Schizosaccharomyces pombe: one gene and its partner. Changing the gene in region 2 together with the main gene of any one other region gives a genetic interaction. Each region holds a gene or a part of one and is shown on either strand. Other genes may lie near its edges.

Region 1 (18,248 bases), on a different chromosome or scaffold from region 2:
AATTTATTTTTACCGTTCTTGATCGAGTCGTAAATTTTACATGAGTGGGTTGAATTATTTGATTTTGAATGTAAAGTCACTAAAAAATGGTTATTATAGAAATCGTTCATGGATTGAACTGGTAGCTAAATGTGTATAGAGAGTTCATAGATTTCCTGTGCGATGCTGCGCCGTTATATGTAATTTTAAGTCAGTAATATCTTTTGGACCACTTGTCAATCAATTGACTCCCAATTAGATGAATTTCTTAAAAAAAATTCGGTTACCAGAAAAATAAAAAAAGGAACCTAACTATGATTTTCATGTTGGTCGTTTCTAATTTAATTAAATACAGAAAATAACGTGAAGTAGGAATTACCGCTATTTTTGTGATTGAGGAACGTGCTCAGTTAATTGCTTGTTCAACGTCGCTAAATCTTCTTGCATCAGTTTTACCACATATGAAAGACCAACTTGATGATCCCTTAAGACGTCCGTAATGACTTCTAGTTGATCAGAATTTTTTCGCCAATCCACTACTCCCTTAGCCAAATTACTTCGCTGATCTTCAGATATCTTTTCTCCTTCAAAAATAAGAGTAATTCTTGCCCATATTTCGTTGAGCCGACCAAAAATTTCAGGATTATTTAGCGATTTTGTTAAATCATCTAATTTTTTACGTAGCTCTTCTTCATTAGGTTTTAGTGCATAACCACGATGTCGTAAAACATGTACTTTAATTGCAAGTCGTAAAATTCTTTCAGACAGACGGACGTGACGATTTTTCGCCTCGGCAAGTTTGATGCTAAAATCAAGGTCGTGTTTGTTACTTAATCTTCCTAAAGTTTCAACAATTTCACGCATCCGAATACGGTACGTGTTCACTTGTTGAATCTGCATATTAATTCTTTTTTGTACATCGGGGAATCCTACGGCCAAAACGGGAACAACACTGTTGCTTGGTCGATTAGCAACAGCTTCGTCCCATTTTTGTTGGTTATAATTTGGAGGCTTAACATATAGTGCAGCTTGCTCAACAGGAACCTTGTTATAAAAGAACCGCTGAAAAGCACAATCAGGATGGTTGAGATTCCATGCATTCAAGATTTTCTGCACTTGCTCCTCCACGGACGGAGGTTGAGCAGGGCCATATTGAGCATTGCTCACGGTCGCATTTGGGGATATACCTGAAGACAGCAATAAGCTGCTAGGGATCGTAGCATTGGTTTCGTCTACTGGTTTTGTGGGATTGTTGACTGTACTCCACGAAAATAATGGTTGCGTATTTGAGTTGCCGGTTCTTGATGCAGCGTTTTGGCCAAATACAGTACTTTGTGGGGCATTGGTGGTAGTATTGGAGAAAGAAGTGGTCGGCTGTTGTTGTGTTTTACCGAAAATTGAATTTCCAAACGGTGGAGCTGACGAAGAACCAGTAGGGCCTCCTGCACCTACATTAGTGTTTGTGGACCCAAAAATAGATCCAGAACCGAAAGGTGCAGTTGGTTTTGTGGTATTCGACTGGCCAAAAACGCCAGTTGAGCCAATGGAAGGTGCCTTTATTGACGACCCTTGTTGACCTACAGTCGTTAGCAACTTATAACTGATGAATCTCAAAGCATACCAAAAGAAAATGCCATAGCGATTTTGCAATTCTTTTACAAGGGAAGCTTGGCTCTTAAATTCTGTCTATTTGATGGGTTGCAAAATCTAGAGTGAGTGATAGCTATAGCTTCACAATAAAGTCAGTCTGCGGTTAAGTTCGTTAAATGATGCCCTATTTTCAGGAAAGCTACCCTATAGCAATTTTGAGATATATTGCGTACTACTTTATTCAATTTACTCTTTCCTTTGGAATTCAAATTATTACTGTTATTCTCGAGATTTATTGAAACTTCAAATTTTGAATTAAATACCCACAGTAAAATTTTTTTTAGACAAACTACAGCATATTTTTCAAGTATATTCTTAGTCAATTTCCTATAGCAATTTGTAAGTTAATCTCTTCGTTAACTCCAATAAATTTAAATTTGCTTTATTTGAGAGCAAAGATATGAATTCGTATTACATTTTAGTAGTTTATATATACATTTACTGCATTTTTAGTCACTTTGTTTGAAAACTGTAACTGCCTGACGAATGTTTACTTGAGGAGTATGTTGAAACCATACTAACTCTTAGAGCCGCGGATTTCAGTTGGAATTTTAAAAGCCTTCGTGGTTCGATAAAATTCAACGTTCAAATTGATAAGTTTTTCAATCTTCTATTTGAAAATCTCTTTCTTTGTTCTTTAGAATATGAATGAGTAGCATGTTACTTACAATAGTCGGTCAAAGTGTCTAAGGTATACGCTCTCATATACTACATTAGTTGCACCAGACGAAGTAAGCGTATACTTGCAGGATAAAGTTGTAGTGTTATCGTGTTTCGAATAGAAGTGCTAGAATACACTGTTCAATTGCGGATTTTACTTGTTCAAAACATTCGTTGTAAGATTTGGTATCGATTCTGCGTTTTACGATTGATCGTCAAATAAACTAAAGTTAAGTATCATTAAAATCTATGAAATAGCTTGTAAAAATTTCGTTTAAAGCGCTTAAAATTCCTGTTATGGAGTTTCGATATGATTTTTCAGATTACAAAAAATCAGATTTCGATCCAAAGGCGCAGGCTGAACGAGTGTTAATCTCTGTTCATGCTGACTCCGATGTTAACGAAGACAAAGAAGTCGCCAGAAAGAGGTTGGGGTATGCACTCAAAGAAGTAGAGCGGCAAATTACCGATTTGATTGTGCATGAGGAAACCACGTTGACGAAAAATGTATCTAGTTCTTTGAATGCTCAGTCATATTTGCAAGATATCGAGGGAAAACTAGAACAATTGATGTTGGTTTATGAAAGAATTCGTTCGCTGGTAGTCATTCCATCTGAAAATTTGGGTCCCCTTCATGAGGCAATTGTAAATTTGCATTCAACATACATGACTTTGTATTGGCTTGGGGAGTTTTTTGGCATACAAGCAAAGTTATTTCCCCTTTTCCAGGGATCGATTAATGAAAATGAAAAGTATGCTTATTGTTTTGCTCAATGATTTTGGTATGCTAACAAATTCAAGACTTTCACGCTATTATCAAGCATCTTTACTATTACAAGAGTCTGATCAATTATTAAGCCGGTTTCCATTAATGGTATGAAATATATTTTCTGTTTCTTGGCTAATTATTGTAGAAAAGACAATCGTCCGTTTCTTTACTCTTAAAACTTAATATAACCAATCGATCGAGAATTATAAAAGAAACATCCAGCTATCTATTATCACAAGAAGATCAACTTTCTTTCAGTGTGAACTCTAATGGTTTTACAAATGCTTGCTCTGTTTTATATATGTTAGACAAATATTTGTTAGAACAGGACTTAACTCGTCTTTTAAGTTCTCGTATACAGAAGGCCATTATACAATTCGACTCGATTTTCCAACTGTCCCCCACTACACGAAGACTCCTACATAACAGTACAGATCCTTCAGCGGCAAATTCTACTATATGGTCCAAATTTGAAGACGGGTGGTACCAAATTTCAAAGATTGGTGCACAATGCGTCTTTTGGGAAAGGTCACTTCAAAAGGCTAATATTTGTAATCCAGACTACCCAAATTTATTAGAATATTTTCAAATGCAACCAAATTTTATCCTTGATGGTGCAACTATTTGTATCTATTTTTTCAAAGAGCTGGCAATTTCTATCAGCAGCAAAATGCAAATGCTTGATCGCCGTGATCCAATACTCTTGCGGGTATTCCGAAGCGATTTTCAGCGAGTTACGCATATTGTGGAACAAGCTATTGCCAGGTCATCCTCCGAAATTGTAAATAAAGATACACGGGAATGTTCAATTGTAATGAATAGCCTCCGAGTATTAGCACCAAAAAACCCATAGATTAATAATAATTATAATTTATACATAAAATGCCTCACGCTTAATCGTTTTAGTATTTAAAAAAAAATCGCAAACTTAATCAAGAATGAAATAAACTCCTGATACTACTTAATCTCGCCGAAGATCGCCTGTAACACATTGTAATGCTGCGGGGACCACCTGACCACTTTTGAGAAAAAATAGTTTCATATTGCGAGCCTTATCTTTCAACTGAACTTGATTGCGATATTTCAAAACTTCACTCTTTTTGCCTCCAGGACCATAAAGCTCCAAAATTTGGCTCCACCGGGGACCTTTTACTAAATCAAGACCATCAAGCAATGCTTCCTCTTCCTCTTTTGTCCAAGATCGACGATTGGCTACGCGCCTCGTACGCTTGTTATTTAGGTTATTATTTGTCATATGTCGAACCTGATCATAAAGAACGACACTGGATACATTTTGTGTTTCCGAGGAGCCGTCAAAAGTTGAAGATGGTATACCAAATGCGAGACTATCGGTCAGGTCTGAACCAGATTCTGAAGGGGATGATTCGGCTTCGCCAGCCTTAAACCTCAATCCGTTCTTCTTGGATCGTCGTTTGAATGAGTTAGCAGGAATTGGAATGGCCGAAATAGACGAGTAATTGTTATGGATGTAACAAGCAATCTCGCTTAAAAATTTCCCCCATGGATATACTTCATTTAAAGCTTCCTGTGGGGAGAAGTTTGCCAATCTTTCTTTTCTAGCCGTACATTTCTCTATGATTTGCTTTTCAACATAAGTAAGTTTGTCATCCAGCTTAGCATTTCGTCGGATAAGAAATCGATGGGCCATGTCAGAGGGAAAAAGATCGTTTAATATGTCTCCCTTGGGACGTTCTGCCTGAGCCATAGCCGAAATATATGCTTGGGTTTTGAGTTCCATATAAAGAGTGCCCTGATTAGTGAGGATATTAGATTCGTCCGGAGCAAAAACCTCCAGAAAATTTTCATTCAAATGAAAAAATCCAATTTGTAGCGCTCCATAGACAGCTGCCAGAAAGATAGCAAGATTTGCGCGTCTAGTCGTACTTCTTTGACTCGGCGTCCTCATACCAATGGCAGAGGAATAAATAAAAGATTCTTCAGTATAAATGTCCTTTACCATACGAAACATATTCATTACTTTGGTAAAGGCCATACCCATTTCGGAGGCTGGATTAGTGACAATGGCAGATGCCTCTTGTACTGGCTTCCCAAGAATTGACAAAATTATGTTACTAAGGTTACCAAGAGTAGGAATAAGAGATGTACGAAGAAGTTGCTGAGGTGTAGCAATAGGATTAGGTTGGTTGAAAGCGTAATCCATGCCTTGATTCATGCGTAAATAAAAGTCCGGCGTCATATTAAATTGAATTCCGGAAAGATCAAACCCTAAAGGAATTTCTGCATTTGGTGCAACATTTTGAGGCTCGAGTTCAGAATTTTGTTCTGATAATTGTTGTAACATTTGGCGATCTTGTTCGAGGGCAGTTGATTCTGGATCAATCGCTAAGCGTTTTTGACCCTTAAAATCATCACTAGGGTCTAAGGATCGTTTTGACATTTTCTTGGAAATCGTAGTTTTTCAATTGATCAAAGAAAATACAAACTATAGGTGAGAAGCAGTCTGATTAATCGATTGCTAAACAAATCCAAGGAGCAACGATATCCAGTGACTACCGAATAGTAAATCTTGCATCAAAAGTTCCAATTCTTCTTTACTACAAGGTTTTTTAAAATATATCCTTCCAATGCAGGCAAAGTAACAACCAAATGCGAGTTTTCAGGTATTTGTGTGTCAATTGATTAGGACAGCGTATATTTAATTGACTCGTAATAAAAAATCTCTTGCATATTTCACTTCATTGGCGTTCGTTATTTTTATTAACGAATTCCAATAAGCCAGATGTGTTAAATACCATTATATCGTTGTATTTCTTTACTAATTTTATCAACATTTCATTCCTTTGTAGAAGCGATATCTGGACATTATTAACTAATGAATAAGCTGTAACTACTACTAGTAGTTCCTACATATTAGATACAAAATCCGTCTAAATTGGCAAAACTTTTTAAAAAAAAAGACCAAGTCTGTATTGCATCTATTTCTCTATTTCTCAATTGCCTTCTTGTATTTTTCGTTAGCTGTGTAAAATGCAGTGGCGCTTGTTTAATTTACGAGATAGAATTCTGTGCTAAATTAGTTCAAAATGAATAAATACGGTTAATGACAAAGAATTATACGATATAGACTTATTTAACAACTGGGAAATTCCTGTTGAACATATATGCTTGCAATATTAAAATTCAAAACAATCGTATACCACGAATTGATGCCACCAAGGTCTGTTTCATTGAAAGATGGAATGTAAAACGTAGTTCGAAAAAGTTGCATATTTCATCACAAGTGCTTACCAGCCAAAAAAAATTCAGTCTATCAGTTTCATAAGAAATTTCAACAGAACAATCTTGTGTGTCAAATTTTTATTCAGATACGTATTTCTTATTCATGCCAAGTATCACTGTAGTAGCTGGGAAATTTAGATGGTCCTAATCCCTAGAGATTCTCCTTATTCACATCCTCTTACATCAGTATCCAAACTATCCATAAGGCAACAAGTGATGAGTACTATTACCTTTTAGTAGTAGTATTTTTACATTAGAAAGGCCTCAAATTTTTATATATTGGGTTAAATTGTACAGTCCGCAAATAATTTAATTACATTTATTTCGCTAACATAACCCGTATAAGCACGTTTCATATTCTTGACATTATTGTGTAGCCTCAGGAATCGCTTCCAACGTTTATTATCATGGATTTTTTTTGGGAACGAATGTTAAATGATCCTCAAAACCATTTCAGTGATGACCAAAAGGAATTTCTAAATCATGCAAAATACCGTGTCAAAAGAAATACGATTTTTGGGATGCTAGTCGGGTTTTCTCTCCCATTATACTTAGGTATGAGATTTCGAACAAGCAATTGAAAATAACTTTCTTATTTTTTAGCTCGTAACAAAAAGGTTACTCCAATCCGCTTGTATGCAACATCAATTATAGGAGGTCTTGCTGGAAATGGGGTAAGTTTTAAGTAATACTAAGCTCAAGCTTACAAATTATGAATAGGTTGCTCAGATTACTACTCTGGCATACAATTTGTCGGCTATACGTCAAAGAGATGATGGCTTTGAAATACTTCGCAAAATACAAGACTCCCTTATTCGACAAAGAACAACGATGCGACAAGGCAGATTTCCTTCTTCATCTTCTGAATTCCCTCCAAAAAACTCAAAATATCAATTACCTGGAAGTATGCCGAATACTGGTGCCTCTTCTAGTCAAGATCCCTTTACGAATTCACAGAGTACGGAGAAAGAGGACGCCATGTACTCTAAAGACAATGGCTTTGAAGATCGATCAAAGCCAGCGTCAGCATGGGAAGCTATTCGTAACCGTAATCGAAATACCGGTAACAATTCTTTTCCATTTTACGAAGAAGACTCGAGTGTTAAATCCACAGATAGTGCTTTTAGTGGACAAGAAAATTCTGAAGCATTTCCTTCCCGAACTTCTAATCTAGGCTCTGAACAGTTGGATGAACCTATTTCTCACGAACAGGAGGCATTTGATCAATTGATCTGGAATGATTCATCGTCTTCCAAATAATTTCCTTTATCTCTACATGTTACGATAATTTAAAATTAATTTTTACCAATTTGAGTGTCACTGAATTTATGATGTAAAGTAGTTAAATTTAGTAGATATTTCTTTTTTTCTATACTGCATTGCCAGATTGATGTAGCTTGCTTGAGCAAGCAACTTATGTATGTTCATGCATAAATTTCGATACATTTCAGTCTTTCAAAAAGAGATAAATTTAAATTCATATTTATGATATACATCTATACGTGATAGGTTTTAATAGCTAGTCTTGAAGATTGATGTGAAATAAAATAGGGATAGATTTACTGGTATAGCAAACCAAATAACAACTTTAAAATTCAGATATAAAAAAAGAACGCAAAGTAAAAATATATATAAAACGCCATGAATCAGTCTGCGTCGAACCAACCCAATCTACTGTCATGAGTATTGTTGTATGCAGTGCCGCCCACCTAGCTACCACCAACTTCTCATTACCATAAACCCATAAAATGTCATTTTTTGGGTTTAATACTACCCTTCCAAAGGAAAATATGTTTCCTAACGAAGGGCAGTTAGAAGAGGATGGGTAAGTCGTTAATATTAATGTAAATATGATACTTTAAGCTCACAAGTATATTTAGCATTGACTTTGAGGAGACCTACGACGATTTGGGTAATCAATTAAATGAAGCCGGAGATGAACTAAACGACGAGACTTTTGGTGTTAGCGCTGGAAGTATAGGTATGTACCTTTGTGCTTGTGATTCTGTAATCATTCTCGGCTGTCATATCTGGGATATTGCAAGCTATTAGTATTTAATATTTTAATATTTTTTCTCACAATTCTAGGACGTGATTTTGATTTTTCAGGTACTACCGCTCAAGCATCTGCACAATTGGAAGATGAGCAGTACCAAATTAATCAACAAAATATTTTCGCTAAACCTGTCAAACCAGCTTCTTCAGAGTTACCTCAAGTTAGTAGACTTAATGGTGCTTCACAATTTCCTTCACGGGAACCTGCGTCTACTGCGATCAATAAGCTTTCCGATTTGCAGCCTATGGCTTCGATTTGGGAAAATATTGTTCCAGAAAAGCCGGCTATTATTCCACCTGAGGTAGCCTCTCTTCAAGATCGTTTGGGTGCCCAACCATCTGAGAAGGTTTTTAGCTTGCAGGAGTTGGAGGAACAGTTATTGAACTCAATGACCGCTCCAAAACCACCTTCTCAACCCGCTATTCCCATTGTTCCATCCGAAATGGCTGCTCAAGTAACTCGAGAAAACATCTCTTCATTGGACCCGGCGATTAGTGCGGCTAGTATTGGTAATGTTACTTTTGGTCAACCAAACATCCCTAGCACTACAACTGATTTTGCTGGATTAGCTGCTCCTAATATGGTACATCCTTCGCAAGCTATACCCAATCCTGTTATGCAACCTTCCCTTGTACCTCAAATGCCATATCCTCAAAACGGCATGTACAACCCAAGTGTTGCTCCTCCTGCTTCCCTTGTTAATCTTTTCCAGCAGGAACAATTAATTCAAAACCAGAACCTTGATGAAAAACGTCAAAAGTTAGAGCGTGATCATATGCTCATGGCTCAATGTGCTGGGTTAATGACACGCAGTGATAAATCGTTTATTGCGAGAATTCAAATATCGCAATTGATGTCGGAGGATCCCGAATCTGATGATTTTTATTATCGCGTTTACTCAATTATTCGAGGCCGCAAGCCTTCCGAGGAAGAAGCCAGTCATTTTATACAGACTTATCTAGGACCTAGCAATAATCGCCGTCGTGGTCGTCGCTCCGAAAATCCTATGCAGAAATTACAACAGCAACTTCAGCGTTTGGTTTCTTCTGCCAAAGAGCGCCCTAAGGCAACTCAGTTGTCTTTAGAAGGTGCTCTTGGTAAAATTGCTGTTAATACTGTTCGCACACCACGACAATTGTTGAATGTTAAACGTCCTACCGAACCAGCATCTTCAAATTCATCATTAAACAATTTTTCTGGATTTTCTACGAAGAAGGATGTATTGCACGCTATTGAGAAAGTTTATGACTTGTTGCTTGACTTTGAGCAAGCCCTCCGTAAAGCCTCAACGCTAGAAACTACCGATCAGGAGCAAATAGATACATGGAAAACTACTTTAAGCGAGAAATTGGAGTCCATTTGGAAGGCATTATACATAAATGAATCATTGGAAGCATCTTCTAAGACTAGGCCTCCATTCATTTCTATAATTTCTCACCCCAAAGGAATGAGGCTGCTACCTCGCTTGTTCCCACATTTGTCCAAAGAGCAACAAATTTCGATTTTAAAGGTCGTAGTTTACAATTTTGATTCTCTTGATATAGTCCTTAGGGGAACATTTGACGTTAACGGTGAGCTGCCTTTGGACGTTGTTTCCGAAATGAGTTCTTTCACGCAGTTCATCATCCCTCCATTGCTCACTATTGTTAATGAACTTGATTTGGAAACTATAAATAACTTATTTTCTCAACTTCTCAATCGCACTAATGCTGTTTATTTAATACAGACGAAGATTGGTTTGTCGTTCCTTACTCTATTCATTAGTCGCGCAGAAATTTTAAAGCAATCTGGCACTGTAAATCAAAATGAAAAAGAAGAATGGTACGTTATACATGTATTTACAGCATCTAACTATTTAGGGAAAATACATTCAATGTTATGTTTAATCGCGTAAAAGGTCATTTCTCGACGGTATTCCCACCACCTAACGCTCGAGCTTATGCTGATGAATCTTATCCATGGGAATTCTTAGCAGCTTGTGCTACTGCTGCTAGCTCTGAACAACATTTTACATTGGTTTCTGAAACTAGGTACGTTAAAATATGTCTAGTCGAGTTTTTGTACTAACAAATATGTAAAAAATAGGGACAGAGTACTTGATAACATCATTACTAGCAAACGGGCACCTTCTGAAATTGCTGTTGTGCGCATCAGCAATGTTAATTTGTTTTTAAATGCAATGGGGCTCGACGCTCGTCAGCTCAGCGCTTAAGTTTGTTTATAAGATATGCGGGTATTTTTTTTTTCAAAAGCTATATTTGCTGAGATTCCTGGATTCAGATTTATTAATTAGAGTATTCCCTGCTACTTAAAAAATGCATACGCTCTAATATAGATTTAAGTAAATTATGTCCTTTTTGAAAACGCTGAATATGAAATAAAATGTATTGAACGAGAAAGAAATTAATATAAAAAACGATAAGTATATAGACAAAAAGTTTATAGCACATATTTAATAGATTTGTGCATCAATAATACTAGCTGCCATTTTGATTCGTAGTTCAGGCATATCATTTTGACTAAACTGAACAGGAACATTTCTAGATACACATTCAGCAGTTTTACAAGCAAAAACTCCACAATCATGTCCATTTCGTTGTCTTGGAGAATTGTCATCCATAAAATTTTCCCAATCTGACACGTCGACGGCACCTTTTGTTTCTGCAATATAATAGTCGCGCAACAAATCAAAAACTTTACCAGGGCTTCCGGCCAGCGAGTCCCAGTATTCAAATCGTTTCTTCGATTTGTTAATAACAGCCATACACCAGTGGACATCCAGATGTACTGGTATAAATACAGCATCCATATCTGCAATATTAACGCGTGCCTTTTTGGCCCATCTTCGAACACCCGCGTATCCACGGCGCTGCAAAGATGTATAAAAAAAAGTATTAAACCCATGTACCCGAGGTAAGGATGAATCAATTTTAGAGCGTTCCGAAATCAAATTCATGTAAAAATTAATTACCTCGTCATTTAACCATTGTCTATTCCGCAGAGTATGCAAGTCTTTAAGCGTGATTGGAATATTAAATTTGGTGATGATGGGTTCAGAAGAGGAAACAGAATTGCTTTGGTTTAAATATTTCAGTGCACGCTTTCGAGCATTATCAGGAAACTCAAGTTCCGGAATGAACTTGGGGCGAGTGGGGGGTGGAGATATTTCCAAACCTTTTAATTGTAAAAAGTCAACTTCGTTCCAATCTTGAAAAGATTCTGTTTGCTTTTCTTTCAAATCTCGAATTAGCAACAGTAATGATTTTTCATTTTGGATATCAGAAGTAACGATATTCCGCGCTGGTTGCTGATCAGATTGAACGAACCTAAAAGAGGCTTTCCGAGACGTTGAATCATGAGGACTTTTCTTTCTTAACGTAGCCGTAAAAGGAAGGTGTTTATATCTGGCGTGTTCGCTAACAACATCTAGCTGCTTGTCCGGTGTAACAATGTCAGAGTTTGGATTTGGAGAGGAGTTCGTAAAGTGCAGAGGAGAAGAAGAGAAAGGTGTAGGATTAAAAGAGTTTATTTCGTCAGCCTCAACGGAATTACCGTGGGATAATGTCGATGAAGTTGTTTCCTTAAAAACCGCAAGCTGTAACCGATTACTAACAGATAAATTTTTGGAAGACCGATGAGGTCGGGGGAAGTATCTCGAACGAGACACACGAAAGCTTGATGGAGATAATGCTTCGTCATGGATGTTTTGAGAATGCGTGTCAGAGGCAGGGGAAAATAGATTTTGAAGAGCAATGGGATCCAAAAATTTTTCATCCTTACTAGAATTTGTATATGAATGAGAAACGGTAGGTTTACTATTTCTGTCAAGAGTATTGTGAGAAGACATATCAGATTCGACCGTCACGTAACCACGTTCAGTCTTGGAATTTATGTGAGAAAACCGAGATTCAGGGGCTTTAGTAGAAGGCTCTAGTTTTGAATTTGTACTATTACTATTAGATGGTATCGCCTCGCCAGCGATGCGATCCAATTCAGAAATGGGAGTTTTTGTCAAAAAAAGTTTTGCATAAGTAACTGTACGAGAACAAATATTAACAAACGTGTTCAAAAATGTCTTTTTACGTTTCCTTTGATACTCTTCATATGTAATACAATCATCCTGACGCGTCCTTTTTGACGCATTGCGTTTTCCTATCATTCACGAGTGAATTGTAAAGGGTGAATCGCGAGAGGCTGTGACACACAACAACCTGGAAGGATGAGCGCGTTCTTGCTTACGTTGTGAAAATACCTCGTTATACGAGTATTGCGGTATTTACTGTAAACAAACTACTTTTTGTGTTTATATTACAATGTTTGGCTTTCGAGCCGCTAGCTTTGCTTGTAAGATTTTAAATTATGTTGCTTAACATGTAAGTGTCCGTTTATCTTTAGGGCCTACTGTGTTTGATTTCATTACACTAAAATCCTACTTCAATGTGGGCTATCACTACTTTTAGCCGTGAGAAGCTTACAAGTATATTAATGTAAATTAAATATCATATTGCTTTTATAAAATATACATTCATGACAGTACACTGTGTTACTCTTTTAAGCGTTTAATAAGTAAGTGGTAGCGTATCGCTACTAGTAAATTGTTTTAAGTTCTGATATATGCCCTGAAAATGAAAAGATAAATCGGAAAATGTGAGTTAGTTTTATACAAACCATTTAACACTTCCTGAAGGGATCTTTGAATGAACAGAAAGCCCTATATTCAGGTTATCCTTCAAACAATCATTATTTCCTAGATAGAAAAGAGTCGTACATCAGCAATGAATTTCCTCAATTATCGCCGGGGTTTTTTATCATACTACGGCTCATATAACTATCAAAAATTAGCATTACCAGTTGCTCTTGATTCTTGTTTTTCTCGATTTTGAATTTTTTGTTATGCATTGTCTGTTAACTATGCGTGAAATATCTGTTCTTTTAGAGATTCGTTTGATTTTTAGTAAAATAGTATTTACTTGCTTTATTTCCCTTTCTTCTGCTGCTCAATAATCTGATATCTTGCTATATTGTTTTCGTTTGAATTCAGTCTCTCTTCTATATTTCGTATATGTATGTTGCGATCAATCGTGTGTTATGGTTTCAAAAATTCAAAAATTCAAAAAAAAAGCCTTCTGCTGTAAGAATAAACATATTTTAGGCTTTCGTAAGTGAATTTTAAGTTGAAAATACCAATTTCAAAATTAGGCTATTAAAGTCATTTTAGTTTTTACTATTGTAATCAAAATGGAACTTTTTTACAACAGATACTAGCTTTAGATGCTTGGCTATCAATTGTAGGCTTTTGATTTTAATTCTATGGAATGGAAACAAAAGTACATTTTTTGGCCTAAAATTAGATTTTTATATAATAAAATATTATTAATTTCATTGCTATAAAAAGTCACTTAGCAGTGTTTAAGCGAGTGCTTAAAAGATTTTATTTAGCTATCTAGATCTGACATTGCTGCACTGAACCAACCTGTCTACCATTTGGTAGATTCAACTTCCCATAACCAGCACCAAGCCAGAGGAACTCACTAAATGTAAGAGCATGACATCCCCGTGTACGCTAATACGGCAATTTTCTCCTTTGGAGATACGTCCGTTACCACATTTGGATTTCCAAGCTGGATTTAATGGGATACCAACTTCAGCTCCAAGGTTGGTTGGTATCGTCCAAGTTCGAAGTAAAGAAATTCACCAACCTTTGGCTTTGGTTCAAATAACGTTAGAATTATGGAAAATTGAATCAGTGGTAATACCATCCTTGGGTATAAGTAATCACTTATCAGATAATAAGTGTCTGGCAAGGCAGGTTTTGTTTCCACTTCATTCCGAGCATCCTGAAAATAACATACCTCCTAATGATAATAATTATTCTATCAGCGATTTGTCTATCAAATCACCTCCACCCTCCCTTACTAGCGATTGGATAGTAGATTCTTATGCGTCTGATCAGGATAATCCTTCTGTTCATACTCATAACCGTACTACTCCACCTATCCCTCCACCTCATCTTCCTAATGCCTCTGGATCTTCGGTATATCAACCTCCTTACACTCCGTTTAGATCAGTATCCACCACATCTTCCTCTAATGACACATCTATCACTCCTTTTGGTGACCAAACTCCTATACTCTCTTCTTCTTCAGATCCTTACGCTACTCATAGGGTATGGTCAATGGACCTTCCCTTTGAAATCCCGTTTCCCGAAAATTCAGAAATTCCATCGACTTTTGAATTGAATCGGTCTGGTACAATATGCTCCACGAAATATGAACTACGTGCTCACATGAGTTTACTAGGGGTACCGGATATTACTACCACTGTACCAGTGTCACTCAGCAGGTATGATAATCTATCTTCTTGGGGGATGTATAATTCCCCTACTAATATTCGGCAAGTGAGTAGCGATGGTCGTGTTGTAGTAGAGGTATCAATACCCAAACTGTGTATTGGACCTTCGGATCTCGTCTCCGTCTTCGTTTCCATCATGCCTAATAATGGTTCTAAAATACGAGTACAGCAACTTTCTCTTTCCTTGGTTGAATACATCACGTTCATACATCCCTCTTCTTCAAGCCCAATAGTTCGTAAAAAGAAAGTATTACGTTACGAAGAAGATTTGGATGATATGAAACTTACATCGGAAGGTTTATCGAAAAGCCTTTCTAAACCTTTCCCCGACATTGATTTTGAAGATGCAAATATCACTGGATTCACGACCACCTCTGATCTTTACTCTGTACAATACATGCTAGTCATCAAAGTACAATTATATCGTGCTAGAAACATTGAAATAACAAACCCAATTATTGTTTCCCCAGTGGAACGATCACGAAGTCAAGCCTTACTTAATGAAATTCAAACCCGAGTCCTTGACGTTCGCCAAAGCCACGGAGGCGTTGTCCTCGAAGAAAACGTTAGGATTGTGCGAGCTTCAGATTTTTCCAAAAATAATATGTTTGCTTATTTGAATGATGACATTGTCCTGTTATCTTAGGAAGTTACATTTTTCAAGCTCAATCTGTGCTTTACTACAAATGTAAATCCCGATATTGTTGATCATAAGCCTTACCTCTGTATTTCCCTGTGTTTTTCGATATTTGCAAGCCTTTGGTTTGCAATTAAATACCCACTTTGTTTATTTATTTGTCCCTCGTTTTTTTGTTTGGTTTCAAAAGCTATGAGTAAAAATAATGGTCTTCTTGTTTTTGTTTTGTTTTAAAAAGTATTCCTGTTCTTCGACATCAAATCAATTTCTATTGAATATGTCTTCATTGTTTTATTTATTCACTAGATTTAGCAAGTGGGACTTTTGGTCACTATTTGGTTGCTTTTTTGTACAACTGACTATTTATTTTAAATTGTGTCAACAGTTTAAATCTCACTTTATTCAGAGTAGGTTTTAGTTTAATAAAAACAGCTTTAAACCTGCTTATATAATGTACTACTTTCCTTTTTTATGTGGTTTGAATATCACATCGGCTGCACTTATGTCGGCGTTTCCACTTTCATGTATGTGGCTTTGAAAGTAAAGATGTAGTAAGCATTTAAATCTGAGTAAGGCTTAATATATATAACGATTGCATTTTGTTATCTAATAGCCCAGTATACGGTTACACTCTTAAATCAGTTACAATTTTATTAGATATTAAGCTCATTGTGAGTAAAATTTTTCCACACCTCTTCCTTAAGTTTGTATAATCCATTCTTATAGTAGTATAACCAGAAGTAAAAGTTTAAAATATTAGCAATTAAATTTCTTTTGAGGAATGAAAATACGAGATCATTATCAAAGCGTTTAATACCCACTTAACTTTCCATCCACAAAATATACGTTTCAATCCAGGTATTAATATCTATATATTATTGACTACTTTATCAGGAAAAAAGATCAAACATCTTTAATTTTTGAGATTTCAGAAGCTACTGTACCTTATGCTAAACAAATGTTCTGGCTCTTTAACACTTTTAGCTGTTAGAAGATTTTGTGGTCCTTGCCGACGTTTACATTATCATAAAGATAACCCTAATAACATTAATATTGCTAAAAATCTCCTGAACAATAATATACAAGCTAGATGCTCAACAAATGAGGCATCTTGGAAGTTGGCACAGAAAGAATTAGATCTGAAAATACGTGAATACGAACAAAAGTTAAAGGATGTTAAGCTAAATGACATAAACAAAAAGGTAAAATATTTATTAAATAAAGGGTTTGAGTACAAAATAACACTGCTAAAAGATACTGTCTTGTTTACTAACGTTAGCATAGTCTCCCCTTAACATTCCTGATGAAGTTTGGACTAAATTTATATCAGAAGTTAACTCTTATGATAAGGAAAAAGAAAATCATTTATCTACAGGTAACCACGAATTGAGGAGAACAACTCCATTGAAAATTGGACCACTTCTACTTACGAGAATCGGGCTATTGAAATCTAAGAACACAGCCAGCAATAATTATTCAGTCGATCATATTGTTTCAAATCTAGCTAATGACAATACGTTGTTAAATCGTCAGGTTTCTACCGAAGAATGGAACAGTCATCTTCGCCATCTCTTAAACATTCCTAAATGCTTTTTAGGGGTTGATATTGTAGAAATAGTCAACTTTTTTAACTATCTTCCTCAAACTGTTATTTCAAAAAGTTCCCTAGAAATTTGGAAAGCTGTTGAAGAAAGTGGTATGAAAGTTATGCCTGATTTGCTTGTCTTGCTTATGGAATCCACCAACGCATCTGGCGATTTCCGTAAGACTGTCCAATTGTATCATTTGTATCAAAAATCAAATGCTCCTCCGAATGGTTTGGTGTATCAATCATATGCTATTGCACTTTCTTCCCTTGGTAAACACAAGGATTTAGTTGCACTCTATTCAGAACAAAAATCAGTCTCAATCACCCCATCAAAGGATTTCTTAAATGCCTGTATCAAGGCATTTTCTCGAACCAAAGAATTTACAAAGGCGTGGGAAGTTTTCAATTTTATGAAATTTACAGCAACTAGCATCTCTCCGTCGGCTGAAACATACGGTCTTATGATTCAAATATGTTCTTCTCAGTATAATCCAGAAAAGGCACTTGACTTATACAATGAGATGAAATTAAGACCAATTGATCCATTAACCCCTACAACGTTCGTTATTAATAATTTAATTCATGCTTTAGCTACCGATGTTCGTTTTCAAACAGTCGCTTTTTCATTGCTTCAGGATCTTTCGCATTATGGTTTACGTCCAAATCATTCTACACTTTATGAGTTAATACGTTTAATTGCTTATAGTGGTAAACTTGACTATATGAAAGACATCTTGGATAATTTCTGGGTGAGGCAAAAATTACTGCCCTCGATACTCAAAGTTGAACAAATTTTTCATTTCATTTTTCGGGCTTTAATTTCAGCTGAAGTTCAAACTTCTTCTGTAACCCCTGATTACACTCACTTTAAAGAGGAGGTCAGGAAAATTATAGATAGTTCCAAAGAGCCACTTATACCTTTCCTTAAAAGATCAACTTTAACTGAGAATGACTTGTTCCTCAATGCTATTTATACTTTTGAATACGCGAAAAGGAAATTTCCTGAAGCTCTGAACTCTCGCTTAGTAACTGATTTTTTAAACATTTTTCTTGAGCGTGGAAGCGTGCAATTATTCAAGGAAATTTATCAATTAGAATTTCGAGAAATGTCGACAATGGAAGGTTCCTCAATGAAAGTTGCTAAGATTACATTGACTTATATATATGCTATAAAGTTAGCATTATTGTTTAACGATTTTGAATTTGGGTATGCTGCTTGGCAAGAATATTGGCATTGTAAAATACACAAATTGCTACCAAAAGAGGACGCATCATACGAACAAAAGGTTGTTTTACT
Region 2 (7,140 bases):
TGAGGTAGGAGATGTTCTTGAAGCTGCTCGCTTGATTAAGACCGCTATTAAGGATTATGCAACTGATCCTGCAACAGGAAAGATTTCTCTTGACCTAATTTATGTTAATGAAAGAGAGACTTTGGTACCTGAAGATATGGTCAAAGAACTGGCGAATTTAATTTCAAATTTAACTGTGGGTGGAAAAACTATGTTGGTCAGTCAATTGTTAACTCGGTTTCGTGAGCAGAGTTCTACTCGCTTAGATGCTTCTGATTTCGAAGCTTGTCTGGGTGCTTTGGAAAGGCGAGGACGTATTAAGGTTATTACCAGTGCTGGACATCGCATTGTACGTTCAATTGCACAGACTGATTAATTTTTTAGCGAATAAGCTGGTATTATTCATGAGCCATAAACCATAGGTCGTTGTTGAAAATCAAAGACTACAGAGCATAATACGAATGTCTTTCTTGTTATATATACACACGTTCTTTTTGTTATAAAAATATTTTACATATTTATCGAGGGATCCTTAACATTCATTTTTCTTTTTTTTTTCGGCTTTTGAGTATGAACTGAACAATGAGTAAACATTATGAATATAAATTCGTTAATACCAAAGTTGAAATAATAATAATAATAATAATTAACATAAACTTTCAAAAAACTAACAGATATCTAAACAATCGTAACCAATAATTCGCCATGATTCGTAGAGGCAGTGTGTGCCTAATTTTAAGTATTTTCAACAGTAGTCAGATGTCATTAAAAGAAAAATGGATAGCAATTTAACCATCAATGTCTGCAGAAAATTCTCTGCAATAGGAATTATCTGTAATATCAAATTTATCGTCACTTGTATCCTTAACATCACTCAAGCTTGGTTTTCTAGAAAAGGGCTTTTGACGCTCACGCACATTCCAATTGAATTTATCTTCTAATACCTTGGTCCATTGGTATCCTGGATTTTGAATGGTTGTGAAAGGGTAATGAGACGTAACAATTGATAAATAGTCGCCTCTATGCATCTCCACAGATTCATGACGGTCAACGGAAAAGAATGCACTACTTCGAGAATCCAAAGGGATCTCAACGTTCAAAACATTGTAATCTGGTAAAATAATAGGACGGAAAGAAAGCGTATGAGGACAAACTGGTGTTACTAAAATCGCATTTAGTGCAGGATGTACCAGAGAACCACCAGCATTCGCTGAGATGTTGGTGGATCCTGTAGGAGTAGCTACAACAAGTCCATCAGCTTGAACCACAGTCATAAGTTCGGAATTGTTGTAAACATTCAAGTTACTAATAAATGGATGTTCTCCTCTACTAATGAGTATTTCATCAAGAGAGTATGTTGTGGAAGCCAAAGAATACTGCTTAGTTTTTTCATCGTATTTATGAAAAGAGCACTGAAGCCGCGAACAAAACCTGAGTGACACGTTTTGAGTTAAGACCTGATACAAATGCTGCTGATAGTTAGATAAACTAAAATGAGTCAAAAAACCAGGGACATCATCATCGGAAAAGGAAAGAACAGGTGGCCCAATTTTTTGAAATAACCACGATGTGTACAATAATGTAGAGTTGTCGCCAATTGTTATAGCTAAGTCAAAAATACTTGGTTTAATCAAACAAATATACGGATTCCAATACTTGATCCGGTCAATGTCGGTATTTGCTTCTTTAGCGATGTTATGAGCAGAGAAGCGCTTGGAACGAGCTAGTCTCATATCCACATATACCTTGGTTTCCGGTGTTCCGATTGTGAGTATATATTTTGTGATTTCTGCCGTCTTGTAAACTAACGAATGCTTTCGAGGTTTCGTTACAACTAGTATATTCTTTGGTTCCAAGGCAAAGGAGCCATTCGCAACCTCATTATACATAAGCCTGGAAGCAACCACATTCTCTATATGCATCGCAGAGGAATTAGAAGTCCTAGATTCTTGATGAAGCTCACCAAAGGGAGGATGAGCGGGTGAAGGGAGGTTAGAAGTTGCCAATTCTCCAACCGGTGTATTTAGGCCCGACAAATCAAACTGCATTGAGGAATTCGACAAGCTGTCAGCACTGCATTGTCGAAAATGAAGATTTTTTTTCTTCAGCTTGTTTATTTCCTCAACTTTGGTAGCCATTCTGATTTTCTAAAACGAAATACCAAGCTTATCCTACGATGTTCGCTGCAGCTACTAAACAGTCCAATTTGGATTAGTCAAGTCCCTCCAATTTCCAGGTTCAACAATATTGTATCTACAAGTATAATCGAGTGGAAAGAGATTAAATATTGCTACATATGAATGTGTAGGTATCTTGGTAAATTCTAAGAGCTGAGTTTACGTAACATGAGCAGCATGTCCTCACCACCAATTTCATAGTTTTGATGAAGAAATTTACTTGATGATTTTATATAAATATAAAGGCTCAATAAATATTATTATGATACTTTATGGAAATGTATATGTACGAATGATTTTGATGTAAACGTTTGTGATAAGTTTTTAATTTTCAATACTTTTATTTTTTGATGCTTTAAAACAAATAAACCACTCTCTTTAACAATAGTATCACCTAATACTATACATAGACGTTTTCTACTTCGTTTTATTATGATTGTGCTTAAAAGCGTTTCGTTTTCTAACATTGAGCGAACCTGTTTTTGCTCAAGTAATTAAGCAAGGGCTGTTTTGGCTGCAGATTCTCTATTTTTCCAACGCTACAATCAAAATGATTAGTAAAAGGATAGTAGATGGCCCTTTCTACAAGCATTCAATGCACAAGGTATATCAAATTCCTAACAATCAAGCGGTGGAATAGTGCAGATTCAATTGACTTTTTATTTTTCTGTTTCATTTATCTCAATCTTATTTTTCTCTAATCTCTCATACATTGATATTTTGTTAAGATGATGAAGTCTTGAAATTAGATATGCAATTCACATATCGTTGATATCCAGCAGTGTTGGGCGGAACGCGAATGAACATTTTCGTCAATTACCAAGTACAAGGAATGTTTTGTTATTTGAAAATTTTTTTTAAATCACTCGCGATGCGGAATGCATGAAAAGCTAGCCCCATTAAATTTAGATATTCAAACTTTATAAATGATGCGTTTCTAGCTTATTCTATCTGTTCTTACTCTTAAATGATTAATTTCAGAGAGTATAGGTGCCTCCATTCTATAACAATTTAATTTAAAAAACTGTTTTGAGGTTTCATCCGAACATTTTGCTATGCAGCTTGTTTATTACTCATTTACATTTGTATTTGCTAATATATTTTGGTCATTGAGTATGTTTATTGACAAATCAATTCTTCAATTTACAGCCTAACTTGAGGAATGTTTTAAGTTATGCCTAATGTATTAGATCCTAGTTAATCAAATGAAATAATGTAAATTTCTTCGTAATAAAATTTGTATATGATTCATTTTTAATAATATTATAACAAAATAGAATTAAAAAAAACCCCCAATTACTTATGCTTGTTTGCGATTGCATTGATGATTTAAGAATCCGTTTCGCTACCGCTTCAATTCTCTTTTTTCTCTCCCTCCTGAAATGGATGCTGATGATTTTGGCAAAAAAGACCTAGAAAATGGGAATGAATCTCCTAAAAAACCCATATTCATGAAGGATTGGAAAAATTCACAACCGAATGAGCAAGGACGCTGGTTACATTTAGATGCTAGAATGAATCGAAATGTATGGTACTAAACAGCATAAGCACAATTATTAATTTTGAACACTCATTATAATCTGTGTAAATTTTAATCAATTGACTATTATTTCACTCTATTTTTAATACTTTAAAAGAATGAGGATTGTGCAAATCGAAAATTGAATAAATATGTAAAAGGAGTACATACTAACCCATTTATTATTTTTGTAGATTGAAGACCTTGAAATTTCTAATTACAATTTACGATTGATGAACGAACAGTTGGAATCACAATTACTTTCTCTTAACGTTAAGCCGGTAGTCAGCTTTGCTGAACAAGGTAAGTCGTCAGAATCGAAGACGGATGAAGAGGGATTTATCCTTAATTCTGCTTCCAACGTTTTGGATAACTTTATTTCAATTGTAAATGAACTTGTTCAGCACGCAGAAGATGTCTTGGACGACTTGGGTTGAATATTTTCAGTGGAGATAATTAAGGATTTTTAAGGGTTTGGAATGGTGCATCGTATTTTAATTAATGTTACGAGTTCTAAAAAGTAAGTAGATTGCTTAACTCGATGTCATCTGTTTACTCAACTTGCTGAGTTTAATATCTTTCTTTGATTAAATGATTACATTCACAAAAAGCCGGGTTTTACAGTTTTTTCTTGATATTTTTAATTTTGTTTATGCGAAGATGATTTCTTAGCTTGTTTGCCTAATTAAGTCTGCTAAACGATCGTGCTTTCATATAATTAAGTCTCGTTTGAATCTTTTGTGAGGCTGTTATTTTAATAATAAGCCCTCAAGTTTAAGTTCGTAAATATATAGGGAAAGCATTTCATTTTTTTACTTCGTCTTATTCTAGTATGTCAATTGATCGTTTACATGGTCTGTATTTCTTGCAGCATCAAAATTACACCATACTAAAAAGTAAATATACTATACAATATCTTTTTGTAATAATATTTTCGGTGCTCTTAAATTTGTAACGCAAGATTTAGCCTGTTTTGGGCATTCAGTCCTAACCCGATAAAATCAAAGAAAGGTGAAAAGTGATAGTAAGGATAATATAATTAATTATAGCAAAAGCAAAAGGAACGTACTTTTTAATTTCAATGAAATTCTGCAAAGTACCACAACTTCAAACCCACCTACTACTCGTTAATTGCCTCTCTATAACCTTTCCTAATCCCCCAATTTGTTCAAATTTCATTGCAATCCTCTCTTTCTTACTTTCAAATGATACATAATAGCCTTTGATAATGTTTTCTAGAAATTTTACAACCCCGTCAATTCGAATTTACCTCAATTCTTGTGTGTCTCACCGATCATTTCATAATACTACCGTTTCCCAAAGTTGGTTAAGTAGAATACGCGATCGTTTTCGTGGAACGAAGGAAGATGAAAAAAAGCAAATTGCTGACAAAGATATGGCTGCCATGAAAGTCGTGATACCTCCTAAAAAGAGAGTTTCAAAGTGGAAGGATATACAGCTGTTTGAAAAATTCGCAGAACCCTCATTAAACAGGGAGGATTCACTTAAGATGATTAACGAAATTAGGAAATCGCTTCAGCTTCAAACACCCTGGTCTCCAGAAGCACGTTTACAAGCAGTAAAACTAGCATATCAAAAAACTGGTAGGATCGTGTATGATGCCCCTCTCCAAAATATACATAATTGGGATGATTTATATAACTACTACGATAAAATAGTAGATTATGGAGACACTACACTTCATGGACGTTTGGCTTGGAAGCCGACACCTGGTTTGATGTCGCTTCCCAATGTAGTTTTGCATGTTGATGAAAATGGTTATCCTTTGGAGAGAAAAAAAAGAAGGTTAAGCCGAAGCGTAGCTTAGTTTTGTTTTTAACTTCTATTTACGACAATTGTTATGGGTCCTGCTCTCCTTTTCAATTTGTTGTGTATATGAAGGTTATTTGCAAGATGAGTGAAGTTTTTTATAATCCTTTCTTTTACATTCGTTTTTTATATAACATCGACTCTCAAACATTTTGTTCTGATGTTTTTTTGACATTTAAAGTTACAAAACTTGTTCGTTTACACATGATTAATACAAGCAAGCCATTGTACCGCCGGAAACAGGTCGCATAAAATTGATAGTATTTATGAGTAATTCAATATTGCTTAACCGTTACAAAGTGGTGCACCAACATTTCGTTATGGTAATGCTTTCTCTGTGCTTTTGTGGTACATTTGAACTGTGATTATTAATTCATTCAGTAAATTACTATGGAATAAATGTAAAAATTTAATAACAATTTGTTGTTGATAAAGCTTTCAATCTATAAGCTGGTAGCTTTGAAATTTGCTCAGCAAATTTAAGTAAGGGCAAGAGAGTGTATATATATTCTCAAAAGTTGAAAATTTTTTAAAACAAAGTAGATAAAAGTATTAAATATAGCCTTCATTTTGGAATTGGTAACTCTTTAAGTTCACTTCTACTTCACTTACACTATGGTTTACTGGCTGCTTCAATCAGTAACCCACCACTTCTTTGATCCAACGTTTTCAAGTAGAATACAGCCTTAATGGATCGTTTGAACGTTAAAGAACAGGAGCACCTTACTCAAGTTTTGGAAGCTAAGCAATTAAAGGAATATCTTAACGTATGTACTTGAATTTTAGAATGTGTGGTTTTAAGTTTTGTGAAGGCTATTTAAATAGTTGAATGAAAAAACTTAGTAAGCAAACGTTTTATTTATTTGTTCAATTTAATCTTGGATTGCCTTAAGTTTTTTATATCCATTATAAAGATGTCTTTTGAAGCATTCTCAACTCCAACCTTCACATTTTCTTCCAAATGTTCGCTTTCATTGATTAGATATTAACATGAATTATAGATGTATTCTACTTTGACTCAAAATTGCTTCTCAGATTGTGTTCAAGATTTCACCAGCTCCAAGTTGAGCAACAAAGAGTCTGAATGTATTGCAAAATGTGCCGACAAATTTTTAAAACACTCTGAACGTGTCGGTCAAAGATTTGCTGAGTTCAATGCCAAATACATGGGTCAGTAAATTATGCATGATACGCCAAACACATATCCGAGGTACGGTGTAATTGGAAACTCCTTCATCATCTAACTACACATGCTTATCTGTTTTCAGTGGTTTAACAAGGGTGCATTATACCTCCTGCTTAAAAAATCTAAAAGATGGTTTATTTGTTCAGTACACTTTCAGAGATGTGAAGTTGTCTGGGCTTTTTTTATTCTTAAAATGAAATGATTTTTGTTCTTCAAATTTGGACCATTTATTAATATTGACGTTAAGGTTTATAGACAAGACTTGTATGTATAGACCCTTCTTGTTTTTAAATGGCTAGTACAAATCATGATTTATTTGGATCCTCATTACAGTAATCGATGACTATAGATTTATGAAACTTGTAAAAAAGTACGTCTCTTTCTTTTTCAAATCTCCCTCTTTATTTAAATCTTAAGCACTAGCTAAAAGACACTCCTGCTTTGCAATT

Evidence for each region.
Region 1: mutations in SPOM_SPCC24B10.02C (region 2) and tbf1 together harm fitness less than expected from each alone (positive genetic interaction), as found in Schizosaccharomyces pombe (one large-scale study listed by BioGRID).

What each region holds. Positions count from the first base shown.
Region 1 is NC_003423.3:2,361,403-2,379,650, reverse strand, and holds tbf1 (DNA-binding factor Trf1), read right to left. Parts: upstream 5,727-18,248; 5' UTR 5,478-5,726; coding exon 4,020-5,477; 3' UTR 3,912-4,019; coding exon of another isoform or gene 3,204-3,911; 3' UTR 3,164-3,203; downstream 1-3,163. Other genes in the region: nucleoporin Nup44, read right to left, coding at 361-1,556, 1,601-1,616; COG complex subunit Cog5, read left to right, coding at 2,587-3,041, 3,091-3,163, 3,204-3,911; SPOM_SPBC19G7.18C (uncharacterized protein), read left to right, coding at 6,727-6,874, 6,923-6,993, 7,040-7,579; pdc2 (topoisomerase II-associated deadenylation-dependent mRNA-decapping factor), read left to right, coding at 8,068-8,144, 8,200-8,300, 8,408-10,196, 10,235-10,405, 10,461-10,587; SUMO deconjugating enzyme Ulp1, read right to left, coding at 10,828-12,534; arrestin-related substrate adaptor for RhoGEF, Art1, read left to right, coding at 13,921-15,372; PPR repeat-containing protein Ppr3, read left to right, coding at 16,311-16,565, 16,648-18,248. UniProt on the Schizosaccharomyces pombe protein: Binds the telomeric double-stranded TTACAGG repeat and regulates telomere length.
Region 2 is NC_003421.2:902,783-909,922, forward strand, and holds SPOM_SPCC24B10.02C (NAD/NADH kinase), read right to left. Parts: upstream 2,305-7,140; 5' UTR 2,118-2,304; coding exon 768-2,117; 3' UTR 501-767; downstream 1-500. Other genes in the region: mcm4 (MCM complex subunit Mcm4/Cdc21), read left to right, coding at 1-355; SPOM_SPCC24B10.03 (uncharacterized protein), read left to right, coding at 3,539-3,682, 3,870-4,112; protein Mrpl50, read left to right, coding at 4,904-5,503; Tim9-Tim10 complex subunit Tim9, read left to right, coding at 6,195-6,272, 6,507-6,683.